Linked DNA regions of Rhinolophus ferrumequinum. Each later gene encodes a partner of the first gene's protein in a complex. Links are inferred from orthologs where the notes say so. Each region holds a gene or a part of one and is shown on either strand. Other genes may lie near its edges.

Evidence for each region.
Region 2: the proteins of PLXND1 (region 1) and GIPC1 are in contact, whole or in part, in a crystal structure (PDB 5V6T), measured with the Mus musculus proteins. The link is inferred for Rhinolophus ferrumequinum from reciprocal best matches to the Homo sapiens genes PLXND1 and GIPC1. Residues at the interface, in NP_080652.2 of Mus musculus: Glu1400, Met1889, Glu1893, Arg1899, Gln1902, Gln1904, His1905, Glu1908, Ile1918, Tyr1919, Cys1921, Tyr1922, Ser1923, Glu1924, Ala1925; in NP_061241.1 of Mus musculus: His61, Glu141, Ala142, Leu143, Gly144, Leu145, Thr146, Ile147, Thr148, Asp149, Asn150, Gly151, Phe156, Lys158, Arg159, Arg190, His191, Tyr192, Glu193, Ala195, Arg196, Leu198, Lys199.

Annotation. Positions count from the first base shown.
Region 1 is NC_046300.1:41,540,363-41,548,181, forward strand, and holds the start of PLXND1 (plexin-D1), read left to right. Parts: upstream 1-4,601; coding exon 4,602-5,921; intron 5,922-7,819. UniProt on the Homo sapiens protein: Cell surface receptor for SEMA4A and for class 3 semaphorins, such as SEMA3A, SEMA3C and SEMA3E. Plays an important role in cell-cell signaling, and in regulating the migration of a wide spectrum of cell types.
Region 2 is NC_046301.1:47,652,305-47,660,086, forward strand, and holds the start of GIPC1 (PDZ domain-containing protein GIPC1), read left to right. Parts: upstream 1-4,647; 5' UTR 4,648-4,846; intron 4,847-7,026; 5' UTR 7,027-7,081; intron 7,082-7,782. UniProt on the Homo sapiens protein: May be involved in G protein-linked signaling.

The DNA.
Region 1 (7,819 bases):
ATATCATTATTGGGGTCTGGGGAGCTCTCTTGAGTGGGGTACAGTTAATTGGTTTGAGGATTCTGGGGGAAGGAGCCCCGTGTTTCAGAGCTGGAAAGTCAGTGGATCCCACACTTCCTGACATGGTGGGCGCTGTGACACTTGTATGTTTTTCCATCCTCATAGCAGCCTTGTGAGGTGGATTATATTCCCCTTTTACAGATAAGGAAACTGAGGTTCAAAGAGAGGTGGTGCCACCAAAGCCACATAGGTGGCTAGGGACAGAGCTGGGCCTGGAAATCAGGTCTCAACTTCAAGGCAAGAGTTAGAAGAACGCAGTAGTCAAGAGCAGGGTTTGGAGGCTGGCAAGCTGTGCCCTGTAGGCAAGTGGTGACACCTCCCTGACCCTCAGTATCCCATCTGTAAAATGGGGCTGATAAAACCCACCTCTCAGGCTGCTCCAGGAGGAAATGGGATGGATAAAGCCCGAGAGAAGCCTCAGTGATGGTTTCCTTCACTATCAAGACTCAGGCTGGGGGTGCTGAGCTGTACCAGAGGATTTTGTTTGCTCTGAGCAGTGTGTCAGGAGCATTTCCTGCAGGGAAAGTGTTCTCTGAGGCCAGGCCCAAGTGACAGGAGGGCAGGAGCCCCCCTCCTCCCAGTGTAGCCCTGGCCCCACTGTTATTTTTTCCAATTGTAGAAGACAAACATTTCCTCCTTCTCACAGTTCTGGTCTGCATAGCCAGAGAGCTGAGGATGGACGGGGCGGGCTGGGGAGTCCCCACCCAGGGCCGGTCTGCTGTCTCTGGGCCAGCCTGGCCACTGACCCCTAGGGTAAGGACCAGGCAAGGACCTGCCCCACTAGAGCCACCATGTCCTCATCTACAAAGGCGCTAGCTTACGTCAACATTTCCCAACTGTCAGGTGTTTTGTACCACCTGGATTATGACCTACTTCATATTTGTCTTTAAGTTAATTTACATTTTAAAAACTTCAATAAATGCATATATCAAGCAAGCTTTACATCATTATTGTACTTGGAAAACCAGTATCATTTGCCAAAACCAGAACATAACTGAAAATATTACAAAGAAAACAAGGAGCTGTAAGTAAATTCTAGAATGCTGATGTCAACAGTGCTGAGCTTGAGACCTTCTCTGTATTAAAAATGGACAATGACAAATGTTAGAGAGGCATTAAAGACACATTAGCTCCAAACGGAGAACTCTCCTTGATATAATCAGAAGGCTTGAACAAAAAACTGTAAAGGGTCTGAATCACAATGTGATATGGGGTTAGCTAGTAGTTAATCCAGGGTTGGTTAATCTGAGTTCGTTAATTCAGAGTTAGCTAATGTTGGGTGCCACCTAACCCCACTTCCCAGGCAGTGTCCATCTCCCCTTGGTTCCCTCTTAAATCTCTTCTGAGAGGACACCCCACTGCATCTCAGCAAGGCCAGGGGAAATGTGGGTTCATTCGGTCCTTCCTTCCTTCCTTCATTCATCCAAGAGTTATCAGCACCTCCTCTGCCCAGCCAGGAGTATAGGGTGGCTGCCACCATGACCCATTTTGGCCTGAAGAAGTTCCCAGCTAATGGGCAGAGAGGAGAAAGCACAGGATCTGGAGACAGGTCTGAGTTTAAATCCTAACTTTGCCAATGCCCCTCAGTTTCTCCATCTGTGAAATGAGTTCAATGATCCCAGCTTTTGTCAGCTGGCTGTGAGGATGGCATGAGATCGTGCAGGGCAGTGCTGGACTCCACTAGCTGCTGTGGGACTCATGACAGGCAGTGAGGCGCTGATGGGCCATTGCTCAATGCAAGGAGAGAGAACTGGTGTTTGCCCAGTACCTGTGATTTGCCAGCACTGTGTTTTCTGGTATGTTATGTTCTTCACATCTCACAACCTCCCAGGAGCCAGTGTGCTATTATGATTGTCCTTGTTTTACAATGAGGAAACTGAGGCTCAGAGAAGGCAAGTGCCTTGCCCTGGGCCACACAGCATTTTGATTTCCAGCTTGTCAGGACACAGACCCTGGCCAAGCCCTCTGCAGTCTAAACTGGCCCTGCATTCCCCCAGCCCAGGGCAGCTCCCGCCCAACACCCAGCTTGGCAGGTATTTTTGTGTCCAAAGCGCCCAGAACCATCTTGCACTGTGCACCAGATTGAGCAGCAAGAACAGAGCATTATCCTCAGGGCTCGGTGGGGGGAGCTGCAGGATGCAGCAAGATGAGCTGGAGACAGGAAGGAAGCTAGGAGGGGTAAGAGAGAGGGAGAGGGGTGGGGATAGGGAGGGAGACAGAGAGAGACAGCCACAGAGAGAGACAGAGAGATACCACACAAAGAGACAGACAGTGTGGAAGGAGAGGGAGATGGGAAGAGACTGGGAGAGAGAGAGAGACAAAGAGAGAGAAAAACTGGGAGGAGCAAGAAGACAGAAACAGAGATGGCGTGGGGAAGGCTAGAGAAAAATAAGACTGAAGGTAGACAGACAGATGGACTGATGGGGGAGGGCTCCACGGAGGGGTGGGGTGAGGTGCATTAGGGCAGGCAGCCTCCTGCACAACTGCTAGGCTCCCCAGTCTGCTCTCATGGGTGGCACAACACAAGCACTCCTTACCGGAGATGGAGGTGGGGTTATCATTCCTACAGGGCTGTCCCGAGTGGCCTCGAGCCCAGGAGGACAGAGTGCCAGAAGCAGAGCCTCCGATTTCCTGTAGCTGAACACTCCTGGTTATCAAAAGTGACCAGACCTGGGGATGGCGGGTGGGGGTGGAGGGGAGAGGCAGGCGTGCTGGGCAAATGCTGATGGCAGGAAGGCAGGGTGTTGGGCGAGGGAAGTGGGGGAAGGCTGTAGGCCTGGCTTTTCCTGCCTACCCTGTGGGGCACAGAGAAGCCCCCTGTCCTTCCTTCCTGGCCAGGTGGGAACAAGTGAGGTGAGGCCAGGCTACCCTCAGAGCAAGGGCCCCGGGGGAACCATGTGACAGCCAGGAGTCTGATGGGAGTTCCCCCTCCAGTTCCGAGAGGCCAGAGTTGGCGTGGGGCCGGGGGTGGGTTGGGGTGGTTTCAAAGCCAGCAGAGTCTGTCTTTTACACGTTGTAGTTCTGCTCCTTGTGAGCTGTGCCTCTCCAGACAGTCCCTTCTCCCCTGCAGTCTCAGGTGCTACATCTGTAAGGTGGGATCTTAACAGTACCAGCCTCAAAGGGTGGCTGTGAGGAGGACAGGAGTCAACTCAGGTAGAGTGCTTGGCACAGAGCCTGGCACGCAAGCCCTGTTTGAGCACCCACCATGGCCAGATGCGGTGGGGGCTCCTTACATGGGCTCTGTGACCTTGAAATCATCACTGCTTGCCTTCCATCCCATTGCCTACCTGCTCCTTCCAGGTGAAAGACTCAGCCCAGTGCCAACTCATGTGGCTGATTTTCCACTAAATCTGGGAGGATTTTAGGTCCTTTCAGAGTCCCCCACAAAGGGGAAGTGCCTCCTGGTGAACAGCGGTGACAGGAGAGCAGCAGCCTACAGGGCCAGGGCCTCACTCTGGGTGTGGCCAGCCCAGGCTGCCCCGCAGCCCGCACAGGCTCCAACAAGGTTCTCTCTTCATTTTCCTGATTCATATGCCTGACCCTTGAGCTCTGTCCTTCTGTCCCGCCACTTATAAAACTCCTTTTATGGGGTTGGGGTTTGGGGGGACAGATCATGCGGACTGATGGGGTGGTGCCACCAGCCTTGCTGGCCCTGGGGGTGCCCAGGCCTGGGGCCTAAGGCCTGGACAGTGCCCCGCAAAAGGGAATTAAAGGGGAGAGACTGTGAGATGGAGAGGTCTGTGGACCAGGGAGGCTGAGAGGCAGCGAAGGGGGGACAGGCAGAGATGGAGGAGAGAGGGATCGGAGGGACGGGAGACAGGCAGTGGGCTCTAAGGGGGCCGAGGAAGCCACGGAGAGTAAGCCAGAGACAGAAAACCAGAGAAGGGAGAGCGAATCCGAGAGGAGAAATGAGAAGAACTAGAGACTGAGAAAAAGAGACAACACGAACGGGGAGGGGAGGAGGGGTGACACAGAGACAGAGACCCGGAGACACGGAGAGACAGAAACAGGGGCGGGTGGGATGGAAAGAGAGGAAGAAAAACAGAAAACCAGCCCGAGAGAGACGGGCCGAGCGGCCAGGAGGGAGGAAGAGAGAAACAAGCGACGGAGGCGGAGGCTGCGCCGGGAAAGAGAGCCACGCCGCGCGGGAGGGTCCTGGAGGGCGCGGGGCGGCCAGACCCACTGTCAGCGGAGCAGAGGCCCGTCGGCCCGAGGGCCGGGCGGGGCCAGCGGGCCCCGGGGGAGCGGGACCGGGCTCTAGGGGAGGTGGGCGGGGGGCGGGAGGGGGCCCGGGGGCGGGGCGCGGCCGGGCGGGGCGCGGCGCGAGGGCGTGTCCGCAACGGAGCCGCCCCCGCCCCGCCCCCGGCTTGCGCGGCTCGGCTTAGCCGGGCCGGGGCGCCGGGGCCGGGGGCGGCTGGCGCGGGCAGGAAGCGCCTCGCGGCCCGGGCCCGCCCCCCGCCTCCTGCCGCCTCCGGGCTCCCGGCTCCCGGCCTCGCCGCGCCCCATGCACTCGCCGTGCAGCGCAGCCCGCGCACGCCCGGATGGCTCGTCGCGCCGCGGGCGGCGCACCCCTTAGCGCCCCGGCCGCCGCGGCCAGCCCCCTGCCGCCGCGCCCGCCATTCCGGGCCCCGCCGCCTTGCCTGCTGCTGCTGCTGCTGCTGCTCCTGGGGGCGGCGCGGGCGAGCGCCCTGGAGATCCAGCGCCGCTTCCCTTCGCCCACGCCCACCAACAACTTCGCCCTGGACGGCGCGGCAGGAACCGTGTACCTGGCGGCCGTCAACCGCCTCTACCAGCTGTCGGGCGCCAACTTGAGCCTGGAGGCCGAGGCGGCGGTGGGGCCGGTGGCCGACAGCCCGCTGTGTCACGCCCCGCAGCTACCGCAGACCTCGTGCGAACACCCGCGGCGCCTCACAGACAACTACAACAAGATCCTGCAACTGGACCCCGGCCAGGGCCTGGTGGTCGTGTGCGGTTCCATCTACCAGGGCTTCTGCCAGCTACGGCGCCGGGGCAACATCTCGGCCGTGGCCGTGCTCTTCCCGCCCGCCGCGCCGCCCGCCGAGCCCGTCACAGTGTTCCCCAGCATGCTGAACGTGGCGGCCAACCACCCGAACGCGTCCACCGTGGGGCTGGTGCTGCCTCCGGCCGCTGACGCGGGTGGCAGCCGCCTGCTGGTGGGCGCCACGTACACCGGCTACGGCAGCGCCTTCTTCCCGCGCAACCGCAGCCTGGAGGACCACCGCTTCGAGAACACGCCAGAGATCGCCATCCGCTCCCTGGATGCGCGCGGCGACTTGGCCAAGCTCTTCACCTTCGACCTCAACCCTTCCGACGACAACATTCTCAAAATCAAGCAGGGCGCCAAGGAGCAGCACAAGCTGGGTTTCGTGCGCGCCTTCCTGCACCCGCCGGACCCGCCGCCGGGCGCCCGGTCCTACGCATACCTGGCACTCAACAGCGAGGCGCGCGCGGGTGACAAGGAGAGTCAGGCGCGGAGCCTGCTGGCACGCATCTGCCTGCCCCGCGGCGCCGGCGGCGACGCCAAGAAGCTCACTGAGTCCTACATCCAGCTGGGCTTGCAGTGCTCGGGCGGCGCGGGCCGCGGCGACCTCTATAGCCGCCTGGTGTCGGTCTTCCCCGCGCGTGAGCTGCTCTTTGCTGTCTTCGAGCGGCCCCAGGGGTCCCCTGCGACTCGCGCGGCTCCAGCCGCGCTCTGCGCCTTCCGCTTTGCGGACGTGCAAGCTGCCATCCGCGCCGCGCGCACCGCCTGCTTCGTGGAGCCCGCACCCGACGTGGTGGCTGTGCTCGACAGCGTGGTTCAGGGCACCGGGCCGGCCTGCGAGCGCAAGCGCAACATCCAGGTACGCCCAAGCGATGGGGGTGCGGGGGACCAACCCAGGGCTCCCGAGGGACAGCGTGCGGGTAACTCGGCGGGTTGTGCGCTGAATGGGTCACTGGTGCGAGCGTGTTGGGACCCAGATCTGCGTGTGTGGGGACACAGGTGTGTACTCTGGGCCACGGGTGCATTTGCGGGGACCTAGATATACTTCCGAGGATACATGTGTCAGCTGATGTGGGCGCTGGGGCGAATATGGTCCAAGTGTGCGGGTACTCAAGTGAGTGCTAGGTTACAGGTGGGCATACCTAGGTGTGTGGGAGGGGCCCAGGTTGCCGATGGGTACCCAGGTGAGAGCGCTGAAGACAGCCAAAGATACATATACAGCTCAGGTGTGCGTCTGGGGCCTCAGAGGCAGCAGCACAGAACGCACAGCAAGTAAGTGCGTGTCTGACCAAGGACTAGGGTCGGTGGGTGCCAGGGCCAGGAGGGTGGAGGGAAGTGAACAGCTCTATGTGCAGCACGGGTATGCAGGGTGCAGGAGATGGCAGTGGGGCTCAGGAGGGAATGAGGAGGGGCCAGGTGTGAGGGCACACCAGCTGGATGGCAAAGGGGCCCACGTGCCCGCCTGGGTTGGGGAGTGTCAAGGGGTCAAATTGGAGTAACTGTGTGTTTTGACATTGTGGGGACATGACACAAGGGTGCAGGAGGAAACTGTGTGTGATTCCCTTTAAGGAAGCCTATCTACAAGCGGTCACTTCTCCAGGGGTCCTGGGAGGTGGAACCCTGCGCCTTTTCCATACTCTACTTTCCTGGTCTGAATCTGGGGATTTGAACCCCAGGCTTCGCCCTAGGAAGCCCCAGCCTCTCCTTCCTCAAATGCCAAACTCAGACCTCTCCTGGTGATTAGGGAGCCCTGCCTTATCCCTTCTCGGTGGTCCTCAGGCTGTGGCAAGAATCTCATGAGCTTAATTATTTTCCTGTGGGTGTGCCCAACACTGGGGCTTTGAGAAAACCCAGATTCCTTCTCCTATAGTCGGGCTCCCACAGCTACCCACCACCCGGCTGGCTGGCTGCCCTGAAAATAAAGGTCACGGTGGGTGAGCAGAGCAGACTGTCCCAGGGAGCAGCTCTGCCACCCGCAGGGGCCAGCCAGGTCAGGGCAGGCTGCCCAGTGCTGTGGTTGGGACATCTACCATTCCCCTCCCCAGAGCCATATCCCCCAATGGGCTGTATTTGAGAGGGTGAGTTTTGTTTCAGGACTAAAGGAGGTGAGTGGGGAGTCAGCCCCCCTCTACGGAGGGAAGACCCTGTTGGAACTAGAGACTTCCTTGGCCTTTCCAGGCCCCGTGTGTCCATCCATACTGTCAGCGTGAGTCTGTCCTCTTGGGCGGCTGTAGTCTCCTCCTCCCCCCTCTGGCAGGAGCCGTCCTGGTTCCCACGGTCCCTTATTCTCAGCCTGGCCTGGTGCAGTGACTCACTCTGCTGAAGGGGGCTGGGGCTTCCTTCTCCTTACTGGGACAGGGCCTCTCCAGGGACACAGCCCCAGGGACAGAGTGGCCAAGGGCCTCCTCCTGAACCCAAGGCTGGGCAAATTCTCAGCCCTCCTCAGCCACTTTCCTGTATTCCCCCCACCTTTTCCTATACCCAGCTGTGGGCCCAGGTCAGTACCACTGGGCAGGATCTCCCAGATGTGTCCAAGCCCTCGGGATCTGGGCCTCCGGCACAGCTGAGGGTGGGGTGGGGAGGGTGGTCGTTATTCTTGCTCCAGGCTATTGCCAGCTCCCAGTTACAGGCTAAAAACTTGGACTTTGCACCCCAGGATCAAACCCTACTCTGTCACTTCCCAGCTGTGTGACCTTGGCAAGGGACTTAACCTCTTTGAGCCTCAGTTTCCTCATCTGTAAAGTGGGAATAGTAAAA
Region 2 (7,782 bases), on another chromosome or scaffold:
ACTATATCCATTTATTATGATGATGATCCCCATTTTAAAGATGAGGAGACTGTGGCACAAGGGAGATGGGGTTCACCCAGGGGCACACAGCTGGCAAGCAGTGCACATTATGAAGAACTATAACTGTACGCTACCCCACAACCCAAAGTGGACTAGAGATGGAATAAAGACACAGGGAAAGTAAAACCATTGAATGACTAGGAGGAAATGTAAAAGAATATCTTTGTGATTGAGGAATAGAAAGGCCCTCCTTAATGAAATTTCATGGGCACAAACCACAAAATGGATAACTTCTATTACACTGAAATTAGGAATTTCCTTCCAATGAAGAATATCACAAACAAAGTGAATCATCACATGACAGAAGGGGAGACTATATTTGCAAAGTGAAACACTGTAGCTACCTCACAGGGTCATTAGGGGAGTTACATGTTTTAATAAATATAAAATTCTTAGAACAGTGTTTGGCATATAGGAAGCTCTATCTAAACATTATCTATCATTGTTGAAACTGACAGGGCTCAATATCCCAGCTTTATTCAGTAGAACTATGCAAGAGCATATATAATTTTAAGTTTCCCGGTAGAGATATTAAAATAGTAAAAAGAAACAGATAAAATTAATTTGAATAATACATTTTCTTTAGCCCAAAACATCCACATTATTATTATGATGACGTGTAATCAGTATAAAAACGAGTTAATGAGATGTGATATTTTACATCTTCTTGTCTTTCTACTTAGTCTTAGAAATCTGGTGTGTATTTCACACCAACAGTATATCTCAATTTGTATTAGCCACATTTCAAGTCCTCAATAACTACATGAGAGCGGAGCATTCACGTTAGACAAATCCAATTGGACAGTCCAGATCTAAACTCTGAGGAACTCATGCAAATAGACAAGAAAAGATAGTAAGCTCAAGTGCAAAATGGGCAAAAGCTATGAACAGGCAATTTACAGAGGAGGCGATCCAGAAGGCCATCAAGCAAACGAGGACATGTGCAAAATGATTAGCAATCAGAGAAATGTAATACAAGCAATGGTGATGTCACTTGACAGTGAGTCAGATTGACAAAAATTAGAAAGCTGGAAAATGCCAACAGCTGGCAGAAATGTGGGGATATGGGACCCTTCCACACTGCCAGTGGGTGAGATGGGGGCAGCTAGTCTGCGGGGAGGGGGGGCACTCAATAGCAATTGAGTGACTCAGCATCTCTGCATCCAGGACTCTCTCCTAGAGAGAATCTTACCAGGTCCCTAAAGGGCAGGTCCATGGCTGCCCACTGTGGTGTGGAGATCTGGAGGCTGCCTGGAGACCAACCTTGGGAAACAAAAGAGTAAGATACGAGGGATGCATCTCATGGAGCATCAAGCATAAGTTAGAAGAAAATAGTCAAAGGGAGGCCGGATGGCTCAGTTGTTTAGAGCGCGAGCTCTGAACAACAGGGTTGCTGGTTCAATTCCCACATGGCCCAGTGCAGTGAGCTGTGCCCTCCACAACTAGATTGAAGGACAACGACTGGGAGCTGATGGACCCTGGAGAAACACACTATTCCCCAATAGTCCCCAATTTAAAAAGAAAAGAAAGAAAAGAAAAGAAAAGAAAAGAAAAGAAAAAAGAAATTAGCAATACCAGATGGATCTTCAAGGTACAGTGCAAAACAAGCAATACTGTGCTGAGTGTAAAAAAAAAGTAAGAAGCCCAATACAATAGAATGCCCACATAAAACAGTGCACATTTTCAAGGAAAGACACAAACACAAAGGTGCACATTTTTAAACCCACTGGAGGGTCACTTCTGGGGATGGGAGGGAAATGGGAGTATTTTCCCCCAATGTTTATTTTGAAATTTTAAAAGCTATAGAAAATTTAACAAGAATAATATAATGAATACCATATACATGTACCACTCTCCTGGATTCAGTGGCAATTGTTACTATTTTACCACATTTGCTTTCTCTATGTATTAATACTAATGTATACCATATTTTATTGTATATGAAATATTTTATACATATATAATTTTTTTCTGAACCATTTGACAGTTGCAGCCATCACAAATTTACCACTAAATAATTCAGCCTGTAACACCTAATAAGACGATTCTCTTATGTAACCACAATACAATGCTCACCCTCAGGAAATTTAACATGGATACAATGTTATTATTTAATATCCAGTCAACATTGAAATATCCCCAATTATCCCAAGAATATCCTTCATAGCTGGGTTTTTTTTTGTTTTTTGTTTGTTTGTTTTGTTTTGACATTTTTATCAAGGATCCAATCAAGGATCACACAACGATTTTGGTTGTCATCTCTCTTTTGTCTCCTTCAACCTAGAACTTCTCACCAGACTTTTATTCATTCATTTAATTAAGGGATTGATTTTGCCTTTTATGACATAGATCTGTTTGAAGAGTCCAGGTCAGTGCCCTTCCTTCCTTCCTTCCTTCCTTCCTTCCTTCCTTCCTTCCTTCCTTCCAAATGTCCCTCAGTCAGGATATGCCTGGTTGTCTCTTCATGATTAGATTCCAATTAACCACTTTGGGCAGGACTAAGTACTTTGCAGGTGATGTTGTGTCCGTCTCAGTACCACACAGCAGGGGGCACGTGACATCAGCCGGTCCCATCACTAGTGGTTAATTTTGATCACTTGGTGAAGGTGGCGACTTCCAGGTTTTCCCACTGGTACCTCTTCCCCATTATAATTAAAAAGTAATCCTGTGGGCTGGTCCTTTGAGACCAAATATTAACTTCCTCATTGATGAGCCTTGCCTGAATTATTTATTCCTCTACTGGCTGCATAATTCCTCTACTGCTGTGATTTTCTAATTCAACCTTTCTTTCTGCATGTATTAGTTGGCATTCCAGAACTTGCTTTTTCCAGAAGGGCAGAGGCAATACTCAAATCTGAGCTCCTCACCAGCTGGGTCTCCCAGCCTGTTTTCAGGCATGCCTCTTGAGCTCTAAAATAGGGTAGGAGGAGGTGCCTGACACTGCTCTGTGCCCTTGGGTAACCCCCTCACCCTTTCCTGGGCACGTCCTCATCAGTCAACAGGTGGATTCAGGCTCAGGACTGAGCTGTCCCCGCAGCCCTCCATCTAGCCTTCTCCAGGTGTATAGGGGGCAACTCAGATGCGGGGTCCAACCAGGGCGGTGGGTACAGTCCCACAGAGGGCACTGGCCCAGCTGAGGCAACTGATGACTCAGTGAGGGTGGCAGAGGTCAGCAGAACAGGAAGTCAAGGACAATAGCTGAACCTGTTGCCGTGGTGATCTCTGTGTTTGCCAGCTGGGTGGGGCCAGCCACGCAGCCCGCATTAGCTAAGCCCAGGGCCGGTACTCCGCTTTCACTTTGCTCCTCTTCTGGACCTGGTGGGGCTGGGATTCACAGCAGCTCACCTGGGGACTGCAAAGGCGCAGTCATTCAATGAGGCTTGAGAAGGGTCGCAGCAGTTAGAGGCCTCCAAGATCTACAGTTCCCAGAACACAAGTGAAGTCCTGGTCTAGCCCCAGCTGCCTGAGTGGTCAGCTTTGAACTAGCACAAGGAAATATCATCTATCCTGGGAACGGAGAGTCTTGGCCTGTGTCTTGTTTCTTGAACCTGCTCCTGCCTGAGAAATCATGGTTACAAGCCAAACCTAGAGATCGTGAGATTACCTGGTCGTTTCATCCACACACATGTGCTCTGTGGGGAGGGGGGGAGGGAGCGGAGAGGGAAAGGAGAGGGGCGGGCTGCAATCAGATGGAGGAGACAGACTCTTGAAAGTTCAGCTCCCTGAGGGCAGAGGCTTGGGTTGCGTGGGTACCCACTGTAATCTAGCACTGAGTATGAGCTCAATAAATATTTGCTGGTCTAACGAACAAGGGAACAAGGGAACAGGGCCTCTCGCCCTCGTCTTCCGTTTCACTGCCCCCTTTCACACTGCTTGGCTAGCGCCTACGATATTGCATTATCCTAAAATGTGCTGTATATCTCCGTCTGGCCTCCAGACCTTTGCAGGCACTGTTCCCTCTACCAGGAACACATTCAGTTTACTAGCCGGTGTGTCTGTAGAGATAAGTCAGAGACTGGCACCGAGCAGGGGCACATTAAATATTTGATGAGTGAATGAATGAATGAATGAATGCCCTTGTCCATTGTACACCCCAGGAAGCAGGGACACTCGGGACCCTCCCTATTCATCTCAGTCCCCCTCCCGCCAGCCTGGAATGAATGCATCTTTTTATCCGCTCTGAGAATTGCCAGGCTTCGGCAGGGACAGGCGGGGCGGAGGACTGGATTGTGGGGCTGCCCTCGGCCCCTTCTCAAGTCTCCTAAAGGGTCTGCTTTTCCTGACGTTGGGAGTTTGCATCCTCTCCCCGAAACTCAGCCTTGTCACCTGACTCCCACGGTCAGCCCCTCGTCCCCCACCACCCTGTATCCCGGGTACCGACTCTCAACCAATAGCACGTGGTTCAGAGTCTGCAGCTTCCCATTGGTCGCTGGTCTCCTTTCTTCCCCGCGATTGGCCGAGGCCCAGCCGCAGCTTCCCCCCTACCCGCAGCCCTGCGATGGTACAGCCCGCCGCGGCTTAGGCGGAGCGGGAAGGTCCACTGCGCTGCGCCGCGGGGTGTCGGGAAGAGTCGGGAGAGGCGGAGGGATCCCTCTGGAATGTTTCCGTCTGCTCCACCCGGAACGGGGATGAGAGGCAAGGATTGGCCGCGAGCTGCAGGAGGCCGTTCCTGATTGGCTGGGAGCGGGCGCCGACCCCGCCCCCCGGCCCCGGCTGCGGGAGAGGCCCGGACCAGAGTTTGCGGAGGGCCGAGCTGGGCGCGCGCAGGGCGGCGGCGGCGGCGCAGGTGAGTTTCACGCGCGGGCGAGACGCGGCTGGAGGTCTAGGCTGGGCGAGGGTATGTCGGAGGCCTCCTCCCAGCTGGGCGCCTCCCTTCCTGCTGGGGGTAGGGGGCCAACGCCTCCACCGCCAGGATGGGGTCTCCAGCCGCACCCCTGACTCCTGCACCCCTTTGGACAGCCCCCACTCTGGCGGGCACAGACGCGGGGTCTGTATTTCTGAGCCCTATCTGGGGCACCTCCCCGGAGCTGGCCTCACCTCAGTCTTCCAGGGTTTAGGGAGGCTTGGGAAGGACCGAGGTCCCGATAATAACAATGAAAAAAATCGTCCTCACTAACATTGATTGAACACTTTTGTGTCAGGTAATTACTATGAGGATCGTTGAATTTAAACACCTCATAGGAGCTGTTACTTCTTTTAAGAGTGAAGCAGCAGACCCAGAGAGGTAGAGTGACTTGCCCAAGGTCACACCAGCTAATAAGTGGCAGATCTGGGACTCAGTCCCATTCCTCAGAGTGAAGAACTGGAGTCTCAACCACTAGACTACATGTCCAGTGGCTCCATGGCTCAGATGTTCCTGCACAGCTCCTCAGCCTACTGCACTTTGTGCTACCCTCTCCCTCCCCACCCCTCCACACACACACCATACATACCATGTGGGCCACACCTGCTGGTCTTTGCTTCTCTCCCCGTGCTCTTTCCCCCGCCAGAGGTCACCAGACACCAGCAGCTCAAGCAATAAACTGCGCCCGTATTCCTTCTCCCTTGAGCTGGAAGGCAAGGCTGGTGTACCTGGGTCCTGAGAAGAGAGTGATGTCTTCAGGGGACATAGGCAGGGAGCCTGGATGCTGGGGTCCTGTGCCTGCCAGGCCCCCCTAGGAAGCCTGGGCCCAGGCTGGGGAGTAGGCGTTCTCTCCGGAAACACCCAGGAGCCGGTTTTTCAAGACTGAATCAGAGGCCGCCCGCCCTTCTCTCCAAAGCATTCCCCTGTTGGAAAGGGGAGCCTGGGTGTGGTGCCCCCCCTCCCTGAGAGATTGTGTGAGCTCCCAGGAACCCTCTGCCCCTCTTCCTGCTTCCCCGCCACTGCCATTCTGTGTGGCTGTGGAGTTGCCCTTCCCAAGGAAGTTTCAGGCCCTTCCCAAGGAAGAGAGGGTAGGGAGGCTGGAACTCCAACTAACCTGCTTGGTGCCCAGGCCAAAACTCTTTTTCTCCGGTCCCCACAGGTGAGGAGAGCCTGGGAATGTGGGGAGAGGGTGGCAGTTAGCAACTCCACGGCAGGCATGTTCTGAGGATTGGGGGATTCAGAGAACAGTCAGAATGAGGATATAAGATATGTTCATTCATTCTACAAATATATTTTGAGCACCTACTTTGTGCCAGGCACTGGCACAAGATTTAATAGTGAACAAGTCAAAACTAAGGATTTTGAGGGGGGAGCTGCCATTCTAGTGGGGGAAACAAGCAACAAACAAGCTAACAAGTAAATTAAAAAGATACCTCCAGATGGTGGTAAGTGCTATGAATAATATATGAGGGGGTGACATGATAGAAACTCTGGGCAAGGTGGGCTCTCAGAGGAAGTGACTTTGGAGCCGAAGCCTAAATGACAAGAAGCAGCCAGCCCTGCCTGCAAAGATCAGGCAGAGGGCACAGCCAGGGCAAAGGCTCTGAGGCTGGACCAAGCTTGGAATAGGGTAGCTGGGGCAGGAGATGCAGCTGAAGCAGCAATTCTGCAGGAGTCGGGGGTCACATTAAGGAGTTTGGAGCTTTTACCCCGTCAGGTGGGAAACTTGTAAGATTTGAGGCAGGGGAATGATGCGATCTGGTTTACGTTTTAAAATAGGACACGAAGTTAATAACAGCCTGAGACTGGAAGACAAGAGTTGTGCCAGGGCAACATGTAATTAAGTTCATGGGCCTGAGCCGTCTGGACCACAGGGGCAGTTCCAACAGGCTAAGGCAAGCCAGGGAGGCTTCCTAGAGGAAGTAACATGGAGTAGGCCCTGGCAGGCAAAGAGGACTGGGATGTTCCTGGGCAGGGCAGGGAGGGAGGCAATATAATGACTAATAATACAAACAGTTTCCTTAAATTGCTAAGGAAATAAAATGCTGAGCAGGTTGCATGCATAATCTCTTTGAATCCCCATAAGCACTCTCTGACAGACAGGAATTCTACCTATTTTTCAGATGAGGAAACTGAGGCTTCGTCAAATGAAGTGACTTGCCTACAGCCACTCAGCTGGTAAGTGGCAGGGGTGGGTTTTGAACCCAAGCCATTTTGCCTTTTCTGGCCTGGAAGGCAAATTCATTAATTACCCACTTTCCTCACCATCGTTATTCCTGTCCCCCCCAGGTGAGGACTAGGCAGCCAGCCTGAACCAGGGCAGCAAGTGTGGGCAGAGGAAATAAGGAGGTTGGGAATTGGTGATCGGGATGTGGGGGCCCTGCGTAAAAAGAGGAAGTTAGTATCTTCTGTGTTTATAGATGGAAATAGTAATAATCACCGACATTTATGGAATCCTCATATCGTGTGCCAGGAACTGTTCCATGCATATGTATGATTTCCTTAGAACTCGAAGAGCTTAAGACACTTGCTCAAGGCCACACAGCTATTAAGCGGTGAAGCCAGATTCCAGACTCATGTTCTCAGCATTCTGCCTCCCAATGTATGATGAGGGAGGGGACCCAAGGGAGGTGATAATGAGGATTTTTTTTTTTTTTTTTTTTTTAGTATCATTGAGCGTAATGAGATAACCGGAGGAGGCAGTACTCATTTATTCATTTAGAATTTATTTTTTGTCTAATAGTCAGTGAGTGCCTACTGTGTGCTAGATCCAGTGATGGGTACTATCGATAGCCATAACCAATAAAAGACTAGTACTCAGAATATATAGTATTAGTGTCCAGAATATATAAAGAGTTCCCACAAATCAATAAGAAAAA